Linked DNA regions of Callithrix jacchus. The protein of the gene in region 3 purifies or fractionates together with the protein of the main gene of each other region. This does not show direct contact. Links are inferred from orthologs where the notes say so. Each region holds a gene or a part of one and is shown on either strand. Other genes may lie near its edges. The genes, in order: SKP1, CCNB1 and CDC25A.

Region 1 (8,394 bases), on a different chromosome or scaffold from region 3:
CTCCGCCTTCCTGGTTCAGGCAGTTCTCTTGCCTCAGCCTCCCAAGTAGTTGGGATTACAGGCGCCTGCTGCCATGCCCAGCTGAGTTTTGTATTTTTGTAGAGATGGGGTTGCACCATGTTGGCCAGGCTGGTCTTGAACACCTGACCTCAGGCAATCTGCCTGCTTCAATCTCCCAAAGTGTGAATGTTTTTACGTGTATTACTGGCCATTTACATTTTCTGCATTGTCTGTTTTCATTTTCCTGTTTTCCTAATGGACTTAAAAAGTGGTAAAAATACATATGACGTTTATCATTTTCAGTTTTTAAAAGTGCACCATTCAGTGACATTAATTACACTCACAAGTGTTGTGCCGCTGTCACCACTAACCATCTTCAGAACTTTATCATCCCAAACTGAAACTCTGTATCATAACTCCGCATTTTTGTACACTCCCTTCCCCAAGTCCCCTAGATAATCATTATTCTACTTTGGGTGTCTGAATTTAGCTATTCTGGGCACATCATATATGGAATCATATAATATTAGTCATTTTGTATCTGGCTTATTTCACTTAGCATAATGTTTTCAAGGTTCATCCATGTTGTCTAATGGGCTTAAAAAATTGTGGTCAAATATACATAACAAAAGTTACTATCTTAACCATTTTCTCTTCTTTTTTTTTTGAGATGGAGTTTTGCTCTTATTGCCCAGGCTGGAGTGCAGTGGCATGATCTTGGCTCACCGAAACCTCCACCTCCTGGGTTCAAGTGATTCTCCTACCTCAGCCTCCTGAGTAGCTGTGGTTATAGGCGTGCACCACCATACCCAGCTAATTTTGTACTTTTAGTAGAGACTGGGTTTCTCCATGCTGGTCAGGCTGGTCTCCAACTCCTGACCTCAGGTGATCTGCCCACCTCAGCCTCCCAAAGTGCTAGTATTACAGGCGTGAGCCACCATGCCCAGCCATCATCTTAACCATTTTTTTTTTTTTTTTTTTTTTTTTTGAGAACAGAGTCTCACTCTGTTGCCCAGGCTGAAGTGCTGTGGCACAGTCTCAGTTCACTGCAGCCTCCACCTCCTGGGTTCAAGCAGTTCTCCTGCCTCAGTCTCCCAAGTAGCTGAGATTACAGGCATGTGCCACCATGCCCAGCAATTTTTTGTATTTTTTATAGAGTTGGGATTTCACCATGTTGGCCAGGATGGTCTGGATCTCTTGACCTTGTGATCTGCCTGCCTTGGCCTCCCAAAATGCTGGGATTACAGGCGTGAGCCACTGTGCCTGGCCATCTTAACCATTTTGAAGTGACAATTCAGTGGTATTATTTAATAGGCTTTTTTTTTTTTTTTTTTGGAGACAGTGTCACTCTGTTGCCCAGGCTGTAGTGCAGTGGTGCGATCTCACTGCAACTCCGCCTCCTGGGTTCAAAGGATTCTCCTGCCTCAGCCTCCTGAGTAGCTGGGATTACATGCGTGCGCCACCACACCTGGCTAATTTTTGTATTTTTAGTAGAGACAGGGTTCTGCCATGTTGGTCAGGCTGGTCTTGAACTTCTAACCTCATGATTTGTCCGCCTCGGCCTCCCAAGGTGTTCGGATTACAGGTGTGAGTCACCGTGCCCTGACTCTAATAGGCTTTTTATAAGAACTCTTTTAAAAAGTTTCTACCAGTTTGCTTATCTTAGTTAATTTATTTTATGATTTAGAGGGTTTATTTTATCTAGTTAGATCTCTTTTTTTTTTTTTTTTTTTTGAGACGGAGTTTCGCTGCTGTTACCCAGGCTGTGCAATGGCGCGATCTTGGCTCACCACAACCTCCGCCTCCTGGGTTCAAGCAATTCTCCTGCTTCAGCCTCCCTTGTAGCTGGAACTACAGGTGTGCGCCACCATGCCCAGCTAATTTTTTTGTATTTTTAGTAAGAGACGGTTTCACCATGTTGACCAGGAATGGTCTCGATCTCTTGACCTTGTGATCCACCTGCCTCAGCCTCCCAAAGTGCTGGGATTATAGGCATGAGCCACCGAGCCTGGCCAGATCTCATTCTTTATGATTTCTGAATATGCCTTACAAGTAACATTCTATTTTATACTAATGAAAAATGGTTCTAAAAGGATCTTTGCTTGTAGTCATTCAAATGCCAGGTACATTCAGATGCCATTCAAAAGCTGGGGGTATAGCAGTGAACCCAAAATCCTTATGGAGTTTATGATCTGAAGGGTTGGGGAAACATACAACATTAGAAATATATCAGATGGAAAAGCTATGGAGAATGAAGAAGGGAACGGGGAACATAAAAGGGTGAGTAGGTGAACAGTAAGCTATTTTAAAAATAAAGATAGGAGATTCCTTACTGAGAAGATGATCTTTAAACAAAGAAATGTGAATATGTGGCGGGGGAAGGATTCTTGGATTTGGGAGCAAGTGCAGTGACCTTAAGACAAGAGCATGCCCTGCCATTTCAGGAAAGACAAGGATTTTAGTGGAAGCTAGAGCACAGTGACCAAACAAGAAGGAAGTAGATAAAATCAGAGTTAAGGGGCTGGGTGATTTAGGGCCACTTGTGAGAATGAGAAGTGTTTGGTTTTTTGTTTTGTTTTGTGTTTTTAAGATAGGGTCTCACTCTGTTGCCTAGGCTGGAGTGCAGTGGTGCAGTCATGGATCATTGCAACTCTACCTCCCAGGTTCAGGTGATCCTCTCACTCCAGCCTCCTGAGTAGCTGGGACTACAGGCGCATGCCACCACACCTGGCTAATTTTTGTATTTTCTATAGAGGTGGAGTTTCACTGTGTAGCCCAGGCTGGTGTGGAACTCCTGGGCTCAAGTGATCTGTCTCCCTTGGCCTCCCAGATTGCTGGGATTATGGGTGTGAGCCACCACACCTAGCTAAGAAGTTTTTTTTTTTTTTTAAAGCCTGTTTGCATTGAATGTATATTGTATTTTGAATAATAATTACATGATGCCAAAACTGAAAGTGTACAGTAAAATTTCCCATCGTTGTCTCTTATCTGATGGGAAACTATTCCCCCCAGAAAGTAATGTGGCATTTTTTATTGTTTTTCTTTTTTACTGGCGCTACCCGTTGTGAACGTAGGCAGGCATTAGTTTCTTATATATCCTTTAAAGAGTTTTTTATTTTTAAATTTTATTATTTTTTTATTAGTAGTGGTAGTAATTTTTTTTTTTTTTTTTTGAGACAGAATCTCTTTCTCTCTTGCCCAGACTAGAGTGCAGTGGCGCAATCATGGTTTGCTTCAGCCTCAACTTCCTGGGCTCAAGTGATTCTTTTTTCTCAACCTTCTGAGTACCTGGGACCGTAGATGTACGCCACCGCCCCTGGCTCATTTTTGTATTTTTTAAAGAGACGGTTTCACCATGTTACCCAGGCTGGTCTCGAACTTCTGGGCTTAAGCATCTCTCCCACCTTACCCTCCCAAAGTGCTAGGATTACAGGTGTGAGCCTCCTCGATCAGCCTATTTATTATTATTATTATCATTTTTTTGTAGAGGTGGGGTCTTGCTACATTGCCTAGGCTAGTTTTGAACTTCTGGCACTCAGCAGTCCTCCTGCCTCAGCCTCCCAAATTTCTGGGATTACTGTGCCTAGCTTTAGAGTTTTTAAAATGCCCAGATAAGCAAATATTAATTGCCATTTGTTCCTTTTATATTATTGGAATACTGCTTAAGAAGTTTCATTAAAACCCTTTGCTGGTTAGGCATGGTGGCTCATAACCTGTAATCTCAACACTTTGGGAGGGCAAGGTGGGTGAATTGATTGAGTTTAGGAGTTTGAAACCAGCCTGAGCAACATGATGAAACCTTATCCCTACAAAAACAAAATAAAAAGATGAGCCAGGTGTGGTGGCATGCACCTGTAGCCCCAGCTACTCGGGAGGTTGAGGTGGGAGGATTGCTTAAGCACAGGAGGTCGAGTGAGCCATGATTACGGCACTGCATTCCAGCCTGGGTGACACAGTGAGTGACGCCTTGTCTCAAAAACAAATGAACAAAAAACCCTTGCTTGGCTTTGCCTTATTGAAACTGTTATTTCTTTCTTTTTTGTTTTTTTGTATCCTGGCAATATAATTTCTTGGCTCTACTATTTTCTCTCAGCATTGTTTATTTCTCCAACATTTTCCTATGAAAACGTTTTAACCATACAGAAAAATTGAAAGAATTACACAGTGGACACCTATACGGCCACTGCCTAGATTCTACAACTTAAAACACTTTAAGTATTGATTTTGGTCTTTATGTTGGTATGTAGGTAATCAGCTTCCTGAAACTTTATGAAGTCATTATTCTCTTATTAAGGGAACTTTGGGGCTTTTGCTGTTTTGTTGTTGCACCATATAGTCTTACAGATGTGTCTGGGGTATTTGGAATTTCCTGGTTACAGTATATGCACATATTCAGCTTTACTAAGGAGTGCTGGATTAGTATAAAATGGGTTATACCAATTTATACTCGAGTTCGTGTTTCCTTTCCACTATTGTCCAACAATTAGTATCAATTTCTTGATTTTTTTTCATTCTAGAGAAGTATCTGTAGTGTTAGTTTTGCTTCTAAGAAGTTGAGTGTTCCTTACATTTGACTACTCAGTTTTCATTTATTGCCTGTACATATCTTTAACCCATTTCTCTATAGTGACTTTTAAAATATTTTATATTCTCTAGGCTAATCATTGTTCTACGTTTTGGAGATATCCTCCAGTCATTGTCCTGTCTAACTTTTCTTTTTGCATAGAAACGTTTTTTTTTTTGAGATGGAATGCAGTGGTGCCGTCTTGGCTCACTGCAACCTCTGCCTCCTGGGTTCAAGTGATTCTCCTGCCTCAGCCTTCTGAATAACTGAAATTACACCGGCCACCATGCCCAGCTAATTTTTTGTATTTTTTTAGTAGAGACGGGTTCTACCATGTTGGCCAGGCTGGTCGCATCTATGACCTTGTGATTCGCCTGCCTCAGCCTCCCAAAGTGCTGGGATTATAGGCGTGAGCCACCACGCCCAGCTGCGTAGAAGCTTTTTAATGTGGTCAAGTATGGTACTCTGTCTACATGGCTTGCTTTTATCTAATAAGATCTTCTGCCTTCTAGGGTTATAAAGATTCTTCAAGCTTCATTTTTGCTTTTCAAGCTTGGCTGTTAATTGCTCAAGTCAACCTCTAGCTAGTTATTATCCCAACATAGAGATAAGTTGTCCCAGCAGTGGAATGAGTACCTTTGACAAAATGCCACTGAAGAATCAACTTGTTGTTGTAGGTCATTCAGTGGTGCACCCACCACAAGGATGACCCTCCTCCTCCTGAGGATGATGAGAACAAAGAAAAGCGAACAGATGATATTCCTGTTTGGGACCAAGAATTCCTGAAAGTTGACCAAGGAACACTTTTTGAACTCATTCTGGTAAGTTTTTTTGTTTTAATTTTTTAAATTTTTATTTATTTATTTATTATTATTTTTTTTGAGACGGAGTTTCGCTCTTGTTACCCAGACCGGAGTGCAATGGCACGATCTGGGCTCACCGCAACCTCCACCTCCTGGGTTCAAGCAGTTCTCCTGCCTCAGCCTCCGTAGTAGCTGGGACTATAGGCATGCACCACCATGCCCAGCTAATTTTTGTATTTTTAGTAGAGACGGGGTTTCACCTTGTTGGCCAGGAATGTCTCTATGTCTTGACCTTGTGATCCACCCACCTCGGCCTTCCAAAGTGCTGGGATTATAGGCGTGAGCCACCGCACCCGGCCTTGTTTTTTTTTGAGACGGAGTCTCGCTCTGTCGCCCAGGCTAGAGTGCAGTGGTGTGTTCTCGGCTCCCTGCAAACTCTGCCTCCCAGGTTTAAGCAGTTCACTCCACCTCCCAAGTAGCTGGGATTACAGGTGTGTGCCACCGTGCTTAGCTAATTTTTGTATTTTTAAGTAGAGATGGGGTTTCACCATGTTGGTCAGGCTGGTCTCAATCTCTTGACCTTGTGATCCACCTGCCTCAGCCTCCCAAAGTGCTGGGATTATGGGCATGAGCCACCATGCCTGGCATCTGGTAAGTTTTTTTTAACATATAAAATAGCTCTATTCCAGAGCCTTTAAATATTACTTCTTACAGATTTAAAATTTGCTAACTTCATTGACACTGAATTTTAATACTCTGAATTAAAATGTAATGCCATATTTAAATCCACATATCAGTAACACACTAAATGTAAATGGTCTAAACACAGTTAAAAGGCAGAAATTAACAGATCAAAAAAGCAAGATTAGCTATGCTGTCTGTAAGAAACCCACTTTAAGGAAATAGACACACCTAGGTTTAAAGAATGAAAGAAGGTAAACTATACTGACATGAATCAAAAGAAAGCTGGAGTGACTATGTTAAAATAGATGTGGAGGCAAAGAATATTACTAGGGTTAAAGGGGATTATTTTGTATCGTTAAGGGGATCCATTTTTTAAGAAGACATAACAATCATAAATGTTTATTTGCCTAGAAGAATTTCAAGAAGTGAAACAAAACCCAGAAGAACTCAAAGAAGTCCACAAATTTGCAGTCATAGAGCTTTCAGTACCTCTCTCAATTAATATAACAAGTAGACAGAAATCATGATAACTTGATATAACACTATTGACCAACTTAATGGACATTTATAAAACATTTTATCTATCTATATCTATATATTATGTATCTGTTTGAGACAGTCTCACTCATCACCCAGTCTGGAGTGCAGTGGTGCAGTCTCTGCTCACTGCAACCTCTCCTCCCGAGATAAGTGATTCTCCTGCCTCAGCCTCCTGAATAGCTGAGATTACAGCCACCTGCCACCATGCCCAGCTAATTTTTTGTATTTTTAGTAGAGACGGGCTTTCACCACATTGGTCAGGTTGGTCTCGAACTCCTGACTTCAGGTTATCCACCTGCCTTGGCCTCCCAAAGTGTTGGGATTACAGGTGTGAGCCACTGTGCCTGGCCTAAAACATTATATGTAACGATAGCAGAATACATATCCTTTTCAAGTGTATATTACCAAGATAGACCGTGTTCTGGGCCATAAAACAAGTCTCAGCCTGGAACAGTGGCTCACACCTGTAATCCCAATACTTTGGGAGGTCGAGGCATGTGGATCACTTGAGGCCAGCAGTTTGAGACCAGCCTGGTCAATATGATGAAACCCCTGAATTAGCTGGGTGTGGTGTCACACACCTATAATTCCAGCTACTTGGGAAACTGAGGCAGGAGAATCGCTTGAACCTGGGAGGCAGACGTTGCAGTGAGCCGAGATTGCACCACTGAACTCCAGCCGGGTGACAGAGTGAGACGGTGTCTCAAAAAGAAAAATCTCTATCATAAAAGGATTTACGCCATACAAAGTATGTTCTCTGCAATGGAACTAGAAATCACAAACAGAAAGGTAACTGGAAAAATCTGCAGCTTCTTTAAAACTAACACATTTGCAAATAACCTGTAAGTCAAAGAAGAAATAAAAAGAATTTGTATTTTGAGCTGAATAGAAATAAAACACATGAAAAATCTGTGAGATGCAGCAAAAGAAATACTTAGAGGGAAATTGATAGCATGAAATACCTATATTATTAGAAAAGAAAAGTTTCAAATCAGTGATCTAAGCTTCCACCTTAAGAAACTAGTAAAAGATGAAATTAAATACAAAGCAAACAGAAGAATTAGAATATATAAGGGCAGAAATCAGTGAAATAGAAAATAGGTAATAAAGTCAGTGAAACCAAAACCTGTTTTTAAAAATCAGATCACTAAATATAATGCTATAACTGCTTATTGAACTCTTTAAGTGTGGACAAATATTTTTGTCAAGATCTGATGTGGTATTTGTCAAGATCTGATGTGTGTCTGTACACACATACACAACAGTAGTGGCCATTAACATTTGAGCTAATACAGTTTGGTTAAGGAAGCAGAAGGATTCAGCATCATAGAGATGTAACAAAGGTCACATAAAAGTCTTTCATGGAGGAACTTATGAGTGATTTATTCTTCTCCCTTTAATAAAATTATCATTTTAAGCTTTATTAGACATGGAGTTTCAATCATTAACTTTAGATTTAGTTTAAAACATCAAGTATACTTTAAGGAAAACAACTATCTCTTTACAGGCTGCAAACTACTTAGACATCAAAGGTTTGCTTGATGTTACATGCAAGACTGTTGCCAATATGATCAAGGGGAAAACTCCTGAGGAGATTCGCAAGACCTTCAATATCAAAAATGACTTTACTGAAGAGGAGGAAGCCCAGGTAGGTGGCACACAGTTTTGTCTCTGATCGCATGCTCTTAAAAAGGGACTAAAGCCTGTAATACACCAGAAAAGAGGTGACTGTATCAAGTAGTCTTGATACTTGAGGGATACTAGGTAGTTTCTGTGTCTTAAACATACTCTTACTGTACTGTC
Region 2 (8,394 bases), on a different chromosome or scaffold from region 3:
CCCAAATGATCTCTTTTGATGTTACTCACTTTCTAAAAAGAAATGGAATAAATCTGAAAAGATACTTTCCTTTCAGGAAATAATTTGTATGTCATTTCAGCAGAATACTATCTAAAGTTGAAACCAATAAACTGACCTTAACTATAGTGCTTACTCCTATTTGCTATTGTTTCAAGAGATCTCTTTGTTTCAAGGTTGACACTCCCTCTCTAAGCCCAATGGAAACATCTGGATGTGCCCCTGCAGAAGAAGACCTATGTCAGGCTTTCTCTGATGTAATTCTTGCAGTAAATGATGTGGATGCAGAAGATGGAGTGGATCCAAACCTTTGTAGTGAATATGTGAAAGATATTTATGCTTATCTGAGACAACTTGAGGTCAGTATTATCATTTGTTGTTGTTTTTTTTCTTTTTCTAAACTGCTTCTAACTTTATGAAAGTATTTTCTATCAATAGTTTATAATAATTCAAGCAGGATGTGGGCAGCATTTCTTAAGAGTAGATTGCACTTTCAAATTCTCCCTCTTGGAATACCTAAAATAAAAAGTCACTAAACCTACGACGAAGTCTGTTTGCCACTCTGTGTTGTCAAGTTCAAAGTTAGCATGGATACTACTATTGATCTTCCTAAAGGAAAGTCCACAGATTGAATTTGATATGTAACTATGCCATCTCCTTTGCAGTTTGAATGGTTAAGTCCCAAACTCTGCATTTTAGGCAATAATGAATGGGTCAGGAAGTGGATGAGGATGTAGACTATACTGAAAGACTGTAGCCACCCCTAACACAAGGCATTTTGTGTTAGTGTGGCTGATGTGCATCCAATTGTTGGTGAAATTATTTGTGCCCTAAAGGAGTTTTTGGTTCAGTACGCTCAAAAGCTAGTTTTTGGTTCATTTCAATTTGATCCCACTTTTGAAACTTTCTGTTAATGGCATTTGCCCTTTCCCCACAAACACAAGCATTCTATATGGCAGCATAAACATACTAGCATAAGCTATACCATATTTACCCAGTTTGTTTGTTTTTTTGTTTTATTCACTCTGTCGCCCTGGATAGAGGGCAAGCTTTACCTCTTGGGTTCAAGCAATTCTTTGCCTCAGCCTCCCGAGTAGTTGGGATTGCAGGCACATGCCACCATGCCTGGCTAACTTTTTGTATTTTTACTTGTTTTTTAGGTTTTGGTTTTGATTTTTTTTTTTTTTTTTTTGAGACAGGGTCTTGCTCTTTGCTCTGTTGCCCAGGCTGGAGTGCAGTGGCACAATTTCAGCTTACTGCAACCTCCGCCTCCTAGGTCAAGTGATTCTCATGCTTCAGCCTCCCGAGCAGCTGGGATTACAGGTGCCCACCACAACACCCGGCTAATTTTTGTATTTTTAGTAGAGATAGGGTTTCACTATGTTGGCCAGGCTGGACTCAAACTCCTGACCTCAGGTGATATCCTCCCCGCCCCACCCACCTTAGCCTCCCAAAGTGCTGGGATTACAGGCATGAGCCACCATACCCAGCCCGCAGTTGTTTTTATGCATTGTCTTATGTCATCATTGACATATTCATCTCTTTCCTGCTCCTTTTGAGCCTCTCCATTTTTTGTAGGTTCTTTGTTTGAGACAGAGCTTCACTATTCCTCCCCAGGCTGGAGTGCAGTGGTGTGATCTCTGCTCACTGCAACCTCTGCCACCTGGGTTCAAGCAATTCTCCTGTGTCAGCCTCCCAAGTAGCTGGGATTACTGGCATGCACCACCACACCCCTCTAATTTTGTATTTTTAGTAGAAATGGGATTTCTCCATGTTGGTCAGGGTGGTCTCAAACTCCCGACCTCAGGTGATCCAACCACCTTGGCCTCCCAAAGTGCTGGGATTACAGGCATGAGCCACTGCTCCCAGCCCTCCTTTTGGGCCTCTTCTTTTTCTATAGGATTCTTCTGCAAGAAGAGTTCTTTCAGGAGCAGCCTTCTACTTTGGGTTTCTTCTCACGTCTTGTACTTTTTAAAGTTGTGTTCTAACTTTGGAGGATTAAATTTAGTAAATGTGCTGTTTCTCGATGCTTCATTCTTGTTCTGTGAAAGGCCATATATGCAGAGCAACTCCCCCCAAATGTCAAAGGAGCCTAGAAACCAAGGAATAAGGCAGATAAATGGAGTTTGTTGGTATTGGGTGACTGATTAGGAGAAATTTACAGACAGAAGTATGGTCTCGTGTGGCTGAAAGATGTAGATCTCTGCACTGTAACTCCTCATACCCAGGGCTTGGGTATGTATACGTTTTCTTGGGGAAAGTATACATGCTCTAGAAGGAATGTGTGAGTGGCTATGGGAATGCTGCTGACATCACAGCCTATAATGTATATGATAGTATCAAGGGCTGTTTTGGAGGAAAGGCCAAACTTAGTGAACAGGCAGAAGTCACATGGAATTAGCATTTAAAATAAAGTCACTCTTGTCCCCACAGTTCTTAGCTATGTTGCTGTTGGGGTTTAGCCCTGGAGCAGGCAGAAATATTGTAGTACATGGGTTCCAGCTTCTCTGGGAGGTACTGATATTTTCTCTACATAAAGCTCAGGCTCTAGGTTTAAAGGCCTAAGTGAAAAGATCTGAGATGACAGTATAGTATCTTTATTTGGAAGGAAGTGGGCCAGCAGCAGCTGTGGTGAATTGAATATTGTAAGACCTGACAATATAAAAAAGCTGTCACACTGTCCTATCTAATGTCTTTTTTTGTTTGTTTGTTTTTTGTGGTTTTGGAGGCAGTCTTGCTCTGTCACCCAGGCTGGAGTACAGTGGTGCAATCTCAGCTCCCTGTAGCTTCCACCTCCTGGGTTCAAGCGATTCTCATGCCTCAGCCTCCTGAGTAGCTGGGACTACAGGCGCGAGCAACCATGCCCAGCTAATTTTTGTATTTTTAGAAGAGATAGGGTTTTGCCATGTTGGCCAGGCTGGTCTCAAACTTCTGGCCTCAAGCAATCTGCCCACTTCAGCCTCCCAAAGTGCTGAGATTACAGGTATAAGCCACCATGCTGGCCTTAATGTTTGCTTTCTTTCTTGGTGATGGTGTTTGTGGTGACTCTATGAATAACTGAATTAAGAACTTACATAGGCTGGGCGCGTTGGCTCACACCTGTAATCTCAGCACTTTGGGAGGCTGAGGCAGGTGGATCACCTGAGGCCAGGAGTTTGAAACCAGCCTAGCCAACATGGTAGAACCCTGTCTCTACTAAAACTCCAAAAAAAAAGCATTAGCCAGGCATGGTGGCACATGCACTCAGGAGGCTGAGGCAGGAGAATTGCTTGAACCTGGGAGGTGAAAGTTGCAGTGAGCCAAGATCGCACCATTGCACTCCAGCCTGAGCAACAAGAGTAAAACTTCATCTTAAAAAAAAAAAAAACTGATATTCTAAATGCCCCAGTGCTACTGTAGGAAGTAACTGATCTTTAATATATTACATGGAATCATGTTTCTAAGAATAATCAGCATTTTCTTTTACAGGAAGAGCAAGCAGTCAGACCGAAATACCTACTGGGTCGGGAAGTCACTGGAAACATGAGAGCCATCCTAATTGACTGGCTAGTACAGGTCCAGATGAAATTCAGGTTGTTGCAGGAGACCATGTACATGACTGTCTCCATTATTGATCGGTTCATGCAGGTGAGCATTTCAGTAAAAGTTTTCCCTGTTGGGATTCTAGCTGTCATAAGAAAATGACTTTCAGCTAAGATCTTTCTTGGAGGATTTGATGTTATTAAGATTTTGCTATGGAAGAATGACTGTCTGTCTACCTCTTCTCCATCATAGCTCTGTGTCTCCTTTTCACGTATTTTATTCATCCTGTTAAAATTCCCATTGCAGAATAATTGTGTGCCCAAGAAGATGCTGCAACTGGTTGGTGTCACTGCCATGTTTATTGCCAGCAAATATGAAGAAATGTACCCTCCAGAAATTGGTGACTTTGCTTTTGTGACTGACAACACTTACACTAAGCACCAGATCAGACAGATGGAAATGAAGATTCTAAGAGCTTTAAACTTTGGTCTGGGTCGGCCTCTACCTTTGCACTTCCTTCGGAGAGCATCTAAGATTGGAGAGGTAAAGGTTTCTTGAGAAACCTTTTGGTATGGGTACATTAGGGAACACTGCTGCTGACCAAGCAAGTCGAATTCAATTAAGTTGTATTATACCTAACTACATGGGGAAGGGATAAAGATGTTCTTTATTTCTAGTTGGGCTGCATGTTAATATTAGGGATTTCCATGGGCACTTGCATTTGAGTTTGTAGACAAACATTTGTAGTTAAAGATACATATGGGTATCCTTTCCAAAGGAAACTTTTCTGAAAGAAGCTCAGTGATGGGTTTTGTTTCAGGCTGATGTTGACCAACATACTTTGGCCAAATACCTGATGGAACTAACTATGTTGGACTATGATATGGTGCACTTTCCTCCTTCTCAAATTGCAGCAGGAGCTTTTTGCTTAGCACTGAAAATTCTGGATGATGGTGAATGGGTAAGCTCTGTCCCACAAAACTCCTAAACTTTTAAATTGTAAAGAGTATTTGACTGAATACAGGACTTTTGTTACTAAAATCCACTTCAAGTGGTTCATAAATATGGGATCTACTGAAGGAGTAGTTTAAAAAGATGTCTTAGAATGTTTCTACTTCTTTTTGTTTTTAAGACAAGGTCTTGTTCTGTCACACAGGCTGGAGTGCAGTGGTGCGATGCTGGCCCACTGCAACCTCACCCTCCCCTAGCTAGTTTTAATTTTTTTCATGTCAGATGGGTAATATGCCCACATTGTAACAAGGTTTGAGGGTAGCATATTTTACACGTTCACGTGAACACCCAATCATCACACTTATGAACTACAAAAGTGTCGCCCACCAGCCTGGGCAACATAGCAAATCCTCATCTTTACAAAAAATATTTAAAAACATATATATATATATACACACAGGCACATGCCTATAGTCCCAGCTACCCTGGAGGCTGAGCTTTGTAATTTTTGTAGAGACAAGGTCTCCTATCTTACCTAGGCTGGTCTTGGGCTGGGCTCAAGTGATCTGCCCACCTCCACCTCCCAAAGTGGTGGAATTATAGGCATGAGCCATTGCAACCAGCCAAGTGTTTCCATTTCTTTGCCTAATTTCAACTTTATTCCCTTTGATAAAGGTACAATAACTTCTTACAGATGGAGAAACTTGAAGCTCAAATAACATACTAGTAGTTCATATTCATTCATTCATTCAACAAATGCTTCTCCTATCTTAGGAATGGAACTATGACAAAGTTGGCCTCAAGGAAGTGGAGTCTAGTTTTAGCAGGGGGCAAGTCAGCAATTACAATAATGAAATTAGGTGTGAGCACAGGTTCCTATGGAAGCATGAGAGCACCTATTAAAGAGTCTTAGGCTTTGTCTTAAATTTCAATTATATTAATAATTAGTTATGCAGTACTCATCCCTTCCCCACTCCTGCATAACATCTAACATCTAGAAATTTTATGAAAATCATTACTGATTGAGCATTTTTAACATTAACTTTTGTTGTCTTAGACACCAACTCTACAGCATTACCTGTCATACACTGAAGAATCCCTTCTTCCAGTTATGCAGCACCTGGCTAAGAATATAGTCATGGTAAATCAAGGGCTTACAAAGCACATGGTGAGTCAATCTAGTGGCAGTGTAAGATGTTGAAAAGTGAAAAGAATGCAAACATCATGCCTGCAAATGCCTGGTTTATTTTGAATGAGTCAGTATTTTAAATGAATACCTGTATCATTGGATCTTGTGACTTTTTTTCCCCCTCTTTAATGCTTTTGTCTTCCAGACTATCAAGAACAAGTATGCTACGTCGAAACATGCTAAGATCAGCACTCTAGCACAGCTGAATTCTGCACTAGTTCAAGATTTAGCCAAGGCTGTGGCAAAGGTGTAACTTGTAAACTTGAGTTGGAGTACTATATTTACAAATAAAATTGGCACCATGTGCCATCTGTACATACTACTATTGCATTTACTTACTTTTAATAAAGCTTGTAGCCCCTTTTACTTTTTTATAGCCTAGCTCATTTGAATGTGGTTACTTCCTACTGTAGGGTAATGGAAAAGTTGTTTTAAAAGGTATGGTGGGGAATATTTTTAAAAACTGCTTTTGGTTTATCTGGGGACCCAATATGTTTATATACTTGGTTCTTGTTTTATGTACCTGGCTTTTACTTTATTAATATGAGTTACAGAAGGTGATGGAGGTATTTGAAAACTTTACTTCCATAGGACATACTGCATGTAAGCCAAGTCCCTGCCACCATGCCCAGCTAATGTTTTTTCTGTATTTTTTTGTAGAGATGAGGTTTCACCATGTTGGCCTGGCTGGTCTTGAGCTCCTGACCTCATGATCCGCCCGCTTCCCAAAGTGCTGGGATTACAGGTGTGAGCCCGGCAGCTCTGTTTTTAAAGTAAAAGTCTACCACCTCATCCCTAGTCCCCTGTTTTCTGTTTTTTCTGGTGATTGCTCCCATCATTCTAAGCTAATTACTTTTACCACTATTTAAGTTATCAACCTTAGCTAGTGTCTTTTCAAACTTTCACTTTGAAAAATGAGAACTTATATTCTAAGCCCAGTTTTCATTTTGTTTTTGTGTTTTGATTAAGAAAATAAAACAATACTCAAATACAAAAGGTATCTTTTTTAAAAAGTTAATTTGACCCTTATCCTCTTTCCAAATCCCACCCATTTGAAGGACATCAGCAATTATGGATTTATCCTTCCATGTCTTGTATAAATATAGATGTGCATATGAATTTTTATGGGTTTATTTAAAATGTGGTTCATTCAAAATGTGGTTCATCCTATATTCATAACAATTATTTTCCTCACATAAGCCTACCTGTATTTGTGCATTATATTACATAGTACAGATAAATAGTCATGTGCCCCATGAACATGTTGGTCAAACATAGACTACATATACAATGGTGGTCCCATAAGATTATTATACCATATTTTTACTATACCTTTTCTGTGTTTAAATACAGAAATACTGACTTGTGTTACAATTGCCTGTAGTATTCAATAACAATGGTGTATAAGTCTGTAGCCTAGGAGTGTAGTAGGGGTATGCTATCTAGATTTGTGTGAGTCCACTCTGATGTTTGAACAATTAGTCACCTAATGACATTCCTCAAACCATAGCCCAATCATTAAGCAACACATGACTAATGTATTCAACCATTTCCCCTGTTCATTCAGACTGCCTTTTTCTCTTTGCCCCTACAATTTTGTTTATATGTTGTTTTGTACCATGTTTTTATGTATTCTTGGTTCCCTAAAACAAACGTGCATTTTGAATTTTGACAGAACCAGATGACATCCAAAAGTACCAGTTTTCTCTGCATTATTAAAACAGGCTGGGCCTGGTGGCTCACCTGTAATCCCAGCACTTTGGGAGGCAGACAAAGGCAGATCACAAGGTCAGGAGTTTAACACCAGCCTAGCCAACATGGTGAAACCCTGTCTCTACTAAAAATACAAAAATTAGCCAGTCATGGTGGCAGGTACCTGTAATCCCAGCTACTTGGGAGGCTGAGGCAGGAGAATTGCTTAATAAAAAATAATATAAAATTGAAGGAGCTGGGCGTGGTGGCTCACACCTATAATCCCAGCACTTTCGGAGGCTGAGGTGGGTGGATCACGAGGTCAAGAGATCGAGACCATTCTGGTCAACAAGATGAAACCCCATCTCTACTAAAAATACAAAAATTAGCTGGGCATGGTCGTGTGCACTTGTAGTCCCAGCTTCTCGGGAGGCTGAGGCAGGAGAATTGCTTAAACCCAGGAGGTGGAGGTTGTGCCATCACCCAGGCTGGAGTGCAGTGGCATGATCTCTGCTCACTGCAACATCCATCTCCCAGGTTCAAGCGCTTATCCTGCCTCAGCCTCCCAAGTAGCTAGGATTACAGGTACCTGCCACCATGCCCAGCTAATTTTTTTTTTTGTATTTTTTTTTTTTGCCAATCAGTTTGAGCTTATGAGGTTGCTCAGGTTAGCCTTGAACTAATGACCTCGCCTTCGCGAGCGCCATGACCTCCGGCGGGAGCCACTTTGGACCCCGTTTTTTTTGTATTTTTAATAGAGATGGGGTTTTACCATGTGGATCAGTTCTTGAACTGGTCTTGAACTCCTGACCTCAAGTGATCTGCCCCACTTGGCCTCCCAAAATGCTGGGATTGGGAGTGAGCCATGGTGGTGAGCCACCACACCCAGCCTATTTTAACTTGTGATAGCAAGTTGAATAAATCTGTCTACTTGGTAACAATGGAATACTCTCCTACTTTGTCATTTTCCTTTTGACTGTTTATGCTATCTTTTGCCAAGCAGGAAAACTTAATTTTTCATA
Region 3 (8,162 bases):
TTTCCCACGTGTTTGAGAAGTCTTGCTATCATAGATCCCGAGGCTTACAGACTCAGAACGGCATTCAGGGTTTCCCCCGCCAGACTTCTCCTACCTCGTCCACAGGTATGAATGCATGGTATTTCCTCTTTGAACAGTTTCTTTTTCCTGGAACACTGTCTCATGAGACTCCTGCTGAAGGTTAGGGTTGAATATCACCTCCTCTGGGATCACTTCTTGCTCTGGAGCCCCATTTCCTCTGGACCTCTCTCTATCCTAGCTTCTGTTATATGGAAATGTTACACCTAAGACTTCATTATCTTTTAGTGACTATTTCTCCCACTAGCCAGTGAGTGCCTTGAGACAATGCCTGCATCTTACAAAGGTCCTTATCCTCAGTGCTCAGCACAAGTCAAACATATTGAATGAGAGAAACAGCTTTTCCTCATTGGAAGAAGGACCAAGGAGGTCCTTCTTCCAAGTAGATCTGAAGTGAGTATTGGGGTATGCAAAGGGGTCATCCAAATGTTAGAGCCATGGTATGTTGGTTCAGGGGCAGTCACAGAGAACATTTAGTTATCTAGTTTTAAAAAATTTTTTAAGACAGGGTCTCACTTCTGTCACTCACGCTGGAGTGCAGTGACACAATCTTGGCTCACTGTAACTTCAACTTACCTGGGCTCAGGTGATTCTCCCACCTCAGCCTCCCAAGTAGCTGGGACCACAGGTATGCACCACCACGCCTGGCTGAATTTTTTTGTGTTTTTAATAACTACGGGGTTTTGGCATGTTGCTCAGGCTGGTCAAGAAGTCCTGGGCTCAAACAATCCGCCCACCTTAGCCTCCCAAAGTGCTGGAATTACAGGTGTCAGCCACTGCCCCTAGCGGGAACATCTAGTTCAAATGCATTTGTTATTTTGCAAAGAAAGTCCCCAGAGGGAGAAGTGACTTACTCCAGGTTCCTCTGCTGGAGAGATGTAGCCTGAGTCACTAATGATGATTCATACTTTGCCCTTCCTGGAGCCAAGTGCCCTTAAGTGTGATAAGCAGAGAAATAAAAATCAAAGTGAGTCACGGATGAACCAGCACATAACAGAGATTGTTTTTAAGAGATGGGGTTAACTATATTCCCAGGCAGGTTTTGAACTCCTGGGCTCAAGCAATCCTCCTGCCTCAGCCTCCCAGTAGATGCAATTATAGGTGCACAATTTGTAAAGCTTTAAAATATGAAAAAAATTTTAAAAAATGAAATTATCTTCTTGCTTAGGAAATAATCATAATGGCAGGGAAGGATAATGGTTACCCTACAGGGGTTGGGTGAAGAGTTTATGATCAAGTCAGGGTAGGCAAGGGGCTTCAGCCAAGCTGTTTGTTCTTAAGCTGGTGTATGAAATAGGAGTGAATTTTTTTTATGCATCTGTCATACTTAAAAATTTTTTATTTGAATCAGATCACACCTTAGAATAGTTATCCCAAAAAATTTAAATAAATTTTGCCCATGGTTTTGAGCTAACCAACGCTTGACCTAATAGGTGTCCACACATAAATTTTCCTCTAGTAAATGCAAACTTTCCGCATGGCAGGCTTCCAGCTGTAACAATCAAGTTTCAGAGCTGGGGGCATTTTAGAAACAGAATCCTGACCTGTTACTGGAGCATAAAACAAGCAGGGGCTAAGGCTGAGGGTATATCTTAGCATACGAACTAAAGAGTTGAAGTTTTCATTTAAAGGCAACAAAAAACCTTTAATTTCTCAAGAATGGGTTGACTTAATTTGCAATTTTAGAAAGTTGATTGTGGCAAGGGTAGGTCAGACAGGAAGCCAGCTCACTTTTGCAACAATCCAGGAAAATATACCTGTTCAAAGTAAACTTAAAAAAGCGGCCGGGCACGGGGGCTCAAGCCTGTAATCCCAGCACTTTGGGAGGCCAAGGCGGGTGGATCACAAGGTCAAGAGATCGAGACCATCCTGGTCAACAAGGTGAAACCCCGTCTCTACTAAAAATACAAAAAATTAGCTGGGCATGGTGGCATGTGCCTGTAATCCCAGCTACTCGGGAGGCTGAGGCAGGAGAATTGCCTGAACCCAGGAGGCGGAGGTTGCGGTGAGCCGAGATTGTGCCATTGCACCCCAGTCTGGGTAACAAGAGCGAAACTCCGTCTCAAAAAAAAAAAAAAAAAAAAAAAATCTTAAAAAAGCATGGTGGCTCATGTCTGTAATCACAGCACTTTGGGAGGCTGAGGTAGGAGGATTGCTTGAGTCTGGAAAGTAGAGGCTAGAGTGAGCCAAGATCACACCATTGCACTCCAGCCTGAGTGACAGTGAGACTGCCTCAAAAAAATATCAAATATGCCTGAACCCCATTTCCCAACACACACATAAAGGAACACATTTTCCATTCTGGGTGCCCCTCTGTGCTTCAGCCCTATATATTTTGTCCCCGGTAGCCCCCAGCATCACTGGTTGTGTGCAGACAATGCAGCCTCAACCTCCTGGCCTCAAGTGATCTGCCTGTCTTGACCTCCCAAAGTGCTGGGATAACAGGTAGGAGCCTCTGCGGTTGGCACATTTTTAACATGCCCATTTATCTTGCAAATCTATCTGAACCACAAGTTTTTGGACTCAGAGTAATAACTGAGGGTTGTTCTAGTCATCCTTGGACCCAGGCCATCTGAGAGCCCTTTGGCTTCCTGAAGAAATGTAGCTATCCCAAACACTAGTTTTAGTTAAGTGTGGTCCGAGGACCTTAAAGGGAAATGTAATTCTTTTTAAATCTATCAAGAACTAAGCAGAGAGCATGGGTTCAAGATCTTTTATTTTCAGAGCTTGCAATAGTTGGTTAGCAATGCCAGCTAAGCTGGTATAATCTGAAGGCCATCCCACCTTTCTCTTTAAGCACTCAACCAACAATCTTTTTCTTACAACAAGATCATTAACCAGTTGGGATCTGTCTTAACGCGTGTGTGGGAAGAAGTCCTCTCCCCCATACTTTTCCCAACAAGGTTGTTTTATGGCCAAATACAACTCAAACCTATTAACACACCAACTAGTCATCTCCAGTATCACTGATTCTCCCAACCCCAGAATAGGAAGTTGAGGTAAGAGGGAGAGAAGGTCTCCTGTTATAAGAAAAACCTGTCTATACCTCAATGAAGCTGTGATGGTAAGGAGGCTGGCACCAGAGGGCAGGGATGAGTAGGCACTGAAACAGGCCTCTCTAGAATCAATGAAGTCAGCCCCAGCTCCTTGGATGAAGTGTTCTTTTGAAATACCCACTTCTATGGGGTTAGATAAGGGGGCAACTGGTGATGATTCATCACTCTCTGTCCCTCAAATTAAAACATGATAAACCCAGAAAGTTTTACCTTCAAAATCCACCAAGCTCCCTCCTGAGAAAATCCTATCCAGTCATGTCCATGCCAGCACCCACTCCCCACCCTTGGGTGGCGCATCCAACACTGATTTGATACTCCTTGACTCATAATATGACCATTTTTTAAAAATTAAAAGCTATCAAACAGTATCACAGCAAAATAAGGAAGACACTCAGTGGACATGTTCTTCCCATATCCTGTGGAGCCCTCCTCCCTACCCCCCTTCCCTGGGAAACCTACACTGCAACATTCCAGCACTGACCAGGGGGTGGCCTGATGGAAGCTGCCTCAAGTGCTTTCCTGACTACAGCTCCTATACCAGCCAATGTCACAGGGAACTGGAGTGTGGAATAGCAGGGCCACACCTCCCACCAAATAAATCTCAGTGGCCAGCCGTGGGTCTGGGAGGTTTAGCTTATGTCAGGCAGCCAAGTCTGGGTCCAGCGCTCCCTCTCACCAGGACCTCAGTTCTTGGTTTAAATAGCAGCAGCCCCAGTACCGCAGCACCTCCTGGGGTGACAGAGCACTTAGCTCTCTGTCCCATAACTTACAACAGGTTTGCATTTTCTTACCCCCTTCTTTAAAAAAAAAAAAAAAAAATTAAAAGCCAAGGTAGGTCCTGGGGTAATAAAACCCTACCTAGAATGGCAGTATTCCAACCTAATGAAGCAGTCAGATTAGTCTCCAGGAGTAAGATAAAATAAAGTGATTGATGAAGTTGAATAAATTAAAGATACAGATTATCCCAAAGACCTTTTCTTCCCCGGTTGTCTTTGCTATTTGGCCAGCAGCATTTCTGTCTGTGTAACTTCTCTACTCCCGTCTCCTTTCCCCTCATGAGAAGGCTGGAGCCCAATATGGCCTTGGCTGCTTCATCCCACTGTGGCTCAGAGCAGCTTGACACAGTACGTTGTGGCACAGTCTGATATGGACAGAGGACATCTAACAGGGAGAGAAGAGGCGTAGCCAGCAGGATGCCCTGGGCTCCAACCATGGGAGTGTGGGAGGTAGGTTTAAGGCGTGGAAGTCCCAGGTCCCCTCTCCAAATGTCACACAGTTGGTCCCTTTGCTCGAGTTCCTCTATAGCAAAGGGGGATGGAGGGAAGCTCGGGCTGCTGCTGGGTGGCCCTGCCACCCTCACAGCTTCTTCAGACGACTGTACATCTCCCTTTTGCTCTTCTCTCCTGCCCAGGTCCGGCTCTTGGTGCGGAACTTCTTCAGGTCTTCTTTAAAGTCCTCATGGTGCATGGGCCGATAGCTGGGGGGCTCACAGTAAGACTGAGGGGACAGGAGAGAACGAGGTTAGGGCACACCTGCGTCATAACCACAACCTGGTTTCCTCTCTGCCTAAGGCTACAAGGCTGGGAGCAGCCAGGCAGATCTGGGCAACCAGTTCTATAGAGGCCTTCTTTGTGCTCAGCAGATACCTACCTTGTCCCCAGACCCCTGGCAAGAAAGTCATCATCACCAGACAGGCTCATTGGTCTACCATTAGGGGTGGGGAAAAGGGATGCTCTCCACAGCCCCAGTCTTACCTGACATTTCATGAAGAACTCCTTGTATCCCCCCTTCAGGACATACAGCTCAGGGTAGTGGAGTTTGGGGTATTCATTACCCAGGCGATCTCTTTCTCTGACATACCGGCACCTAGTCAGGGGAAGGAAGGCCAAAGCAGGGTTACCTCCTTTGACCCAGAGCAACACCGCAGCAACGCAGTCAAAGCAGCAGTTGTGGTTTAGGTCCCCCTTACGCATCTTTGCAACTTTACATTTATTCTTAGGAACCATCAGTGCTGATTTGCAAGTTCCTGGCCATGTGAGCAGCATTCATAGCCAGTGCCAGTAGATGGCCTCTTCCCCAACTTTCCTTTCTCCAACAGCACTAGCATCCAAGTCCTGCCCAGCACCTTCACTGCCAGTTTGTGGCAACAGTTTCACCATCTAAGCCAGCTTCCTCTTGCATTCTCCACCCCAGCCTTCCCTTCAGCCAGGCTCCCTCACTCACCTTTTTCTACCTAAGTGGGATTGTTTCTTTCCGTGGCTTTTAAAGAGGCTGAACTTGCTCCTGCTTCAGGGCATCTGTTTCTATCCTCTACCTTGACTGAATGTTCTTTGATATCCTTATCTGTCTGATGGATGCTTACTGTCTTGCCCTTGGTATAAAAGTCCAAGGCCTCGAGTCCTTCAGAGGCCTACAGCTCATCACTCCCACTGCTGCTCTGCCCCTCGTTCATCCCACACCAGCCCCTGCGGCCCACTACTGTCCCTCTGGCCTGCCTGGGAGCTCCCACCTTATTTCCCTCTGAAGAACTCTTTTTTTTTGAGACAGTCTCATTCTGTTGACAGGCTGGAGTGCAGTGGTGCTGTCTAAGCTCATTGCACCCTCCACCTCCTGGGTTCAAGCGATTCTCCTGCCTCAGCTTCCTTAATAGCTGGGATTACAGGTGCCCACCACCACACCCAGCTAATTCTTTAGTAGAGACAACGTTTCACTATGTTGGCCAGGCTGGTCTCGAACCCCTGACCTCAGGTAACCCACTTTGGGTTCCCAAAATGCTGGGATTACAGGCATGAGCCACTGTGCCCAGTCACTATTTTTTTTTTGGATACAGTCTCATTCTGTCCTCCAGGCTGGAGCGCGGTGGTGCATGATCTCAGCTAATTGCAACCTCCACCCTCCACCCTCCGAGTTCAACAGATGCTCCTGCCTCAGCCTCCAGCATAGTTGGGATTACAGGTGTCTGCCACCATGCCTGGTTCATTTTTGTATTTATTTATTTTTTTTTTAAGATGGGGTTTCACCATGATGGCCAGGCTGGTCTTGAACTCCTGACCTCAGGTGATCCACCCCCCTCTCGGCCTGCTGAAGTGCTAGGATTACAGGCATGAGCCACTGTGCCCAGCCAATTTTTGTATTTTTAGTAGAGATGGGGTTTCAGTACCTTGGCCAGGCTGGTCTTGAACGCCTATGTACTCTGAAATGTAAGTCCCACGAAAGCAGGGATTTTTTGGTCTGTTTTGTTCACTGCTTTTCTCCCTCAGTATCTAGAAAAGTATTTGGTACATGAGAGGCAAGAATATCTGATTTCTCTTGAAGCTCAGTGGTTTGGGGCCTATGGTAACTGCTCCAGTCATGAAGAATGGGCAGCAGCTTCCTCAGCAGCACGTAGCTGGAAGCATTTGCCTGTAGTTAAAATGAGTTTGCCTGTCAATCCCAAATCTTTCCTCTGAGAGGCCGAGGTGGGTAGATCACTTGAGGTCAGGAGTTCGAGACCAGCTTGGTCAACATGGCGAAACCTCGTCTCTACTAAAAACACAAAAATTAGCTGGGCATGGTAACATGCGCCTGTAGTCCCAGCTACTTGGGAACCTGAGGCAGGAGAATTGCTTGAACCTGGGAGGCAGAGGTTGCAGTGAGCCAAGATCGCACCACTGCATTACAGTCTGGGTGAAAAAGCAAGACTGCATCTCAAAAACAAAAAACCAAAACAAACAAACCAATCAATCTGCTGAGTGAATAATTGCTTTTATGAATGACCACTAAATTCTTGCTCAAATATTACCTATGCATGTCGTAACTTACAGGGCAAAGCACTCATCCTTCAGAGACAGATGCTTGAAGGACTTATGACAGTTACAAGTGTCAAGTTCTAATGTAGTTGACTGTGTGTAGAGCATGTACATGCCAATGTGACAAATATTAATAAAATCAGGTGAAGTGTATACAAGTATAACCTGTGTGTGTGTGTATGTGTGTGTGTGTGTGTGTGAGAGAGAGAGAGAGAGAGAGAGACAGAGAGAGAGAGAGACAGAATCTCACTCTGTCAACCAGGCTGGAGTACAGTGACATGATCCCGGCTCAGTGTAGCCTCAACTTGCCAGGCTCAAGCAATCCTCCCACCTCCTATTTTTTGCAGAGATGGGGTCTTGCTGTATTACCCAGGCTGGTCTGAAACTCCTGAGCAAATGATCCCTCTGCCTCAGCCTCCCAAAGTGTTGGTGCCACTGTGCCCAGCCATAACCTCACCTCTTTTTGAGTTTTAAAATGGTTCAAAAGGGTGGGTGCAGTGGCTCACACCTTCAGTCCTAGCACTTTGGGAGGCTGAGGAGGAGAGCTTGAGGCCAGGAGTTTGAGACCAACCTGGTCAAAATATTAAGATCCTATCTCAAAATTTGAAATTTCTACCAGGTGCGGTGGTTCATGCCTTTTGGGAGGCCAAGGTGGGCAGATCACCTGAAGTCAGGAGTTCGAGACCAGCCTGGCTAACATGTGAAACCTTATCTCTACTAAAAATACAAAAATTGGCCAGGCATGGTGGTGCAAACCTGTAATCCCAGCTACTCAGGAGGCTGAGGCAGGAGCAGTGAGCCAAGATCATGCCAATCATTCCAGCCTGGGTGCAGTGGCTCACACCTGTAATCCCAGCACTTTGGGAGGCTGAGGTAGGCAGATCACATGAGGTCGGGAGTTCGAGACGACCAACCTGACCAACATAGTGAAACCTCGTCTCTACTAAAAACAAAAAAATTAACCAGGCGTTGTGGTGGTGGTAGCTGGTAATCTCAGCTACTCAGGAGGCTGAGGCAGGAGAATTGCTTGAACCCAGGAGGCAGAGGTTGCAGTGAGCTGAGATCACACCATTGCACTCTAGCCTGGGCAGTAAGAGTGAAACTCCGTCTCAAACAAACAAACAAAAACAAGCAAAAGACACAATACACGTGGGCGCGCACACATACACACTAAGGACAGTGGGGTAAATTAGAAGAGCCAAAGTTGAACTCAATATAAAACTACATATCATGTGTGTAG

Evidence for each region.
Region 1: the proteins of CDC25A (region 3) and SKP1 purify together in Homo sapiens (affinity purification with western blotting; 6 studies listed by BioGRID and IntAct, with this or other methods). This does not show direct contact. The link is inferred for Callithrix jacchus from reciprocal best matches to the Homo sapiens genes CDC25A and SKP1.
Region 2: the proteins of CDC25A (region 3) and CCNB1 purify together in Homo sapiens (affinity purification with mass spectrometry; 3 studies listed by BioGRID, with this or other methods). This does not show direct contact. The link is inferred for Callithrix jacchus from reciprocal best matches to the Homo sapiens genes CDC25A and CCNB1.

The regions. Positions count from the first base shown.
Region 1 is NC_133503.1:74,170,486-74,178,879, forward strand, and holds part of SKP1 (S-phase kinase-associated protein 1), read left to right. Parts: intron 1-5,241; coding exon 5,242-5,385; intron 5,386-8,098; coding exon 8,099-8,239; intron 8,240-8,394. UniProt on the Homo sapiens protein: Essential component of the SCF (SKP1-CUL1-F-box protein) ubiquitin ligase complex, which mediates the ubiquitination of proteins involved in cell cycle progression, signal transduction and transcription.
Region 2 is NC_133503.1:140,366,139-140,374,532, reverse strand, and holds the end of CCNB1 (G2/mitotic-specific cyclin-B1), read left to right. Parts: intron 1-194; coding exon 195-377; intron 378-3,486; coding exon 3,487-3,645; intron 3,646-3,846; coding exon 3,847-4,083; intron 4,084-4,360; coding exon 4,361-4,501; intron 4,502-4,767; exon of another isoform or gene 4,768-4,871; intron 4,872-5,548; coding exon 5,549-5,659; intron 5,660-5,825; coding exon 5,826-5,927; coding exon of another isoform or gene 5,928-5,933; exon of another isoform or gene 5,934-6,000; intron 6,001-6,340; coding exon 6,341-6,346; 3' UTR 6,347-6,476; downstream 6,477-8,394. UniProt on the Homo sapiens protein: Essential for the control of the cell cycle at the G2/M (mitosis) transition.
Region 3 is NC_133516.1:30,840,664-30,848,825, forward strand, and holds the end of CDC25A (M-phase inducer phosphatase 1), read right to left. Parts: intron 5,001-8,162; coding exon 4,889-5,000; intron 4,632-4,888; coding exon 4,491-4,631; 3' UTR 2,778-4,490; downstream 1-2,777. UniProt on the Homo sapiens protein: Tyrosine protein phosphatase which functions as a dosage-dependent inducer of mitotic progression. Directly dephosphorylates CDK1 and stimulates its kinase activity. Also dephosphorylates CDK2 in complex with cyclin-E, in vitro.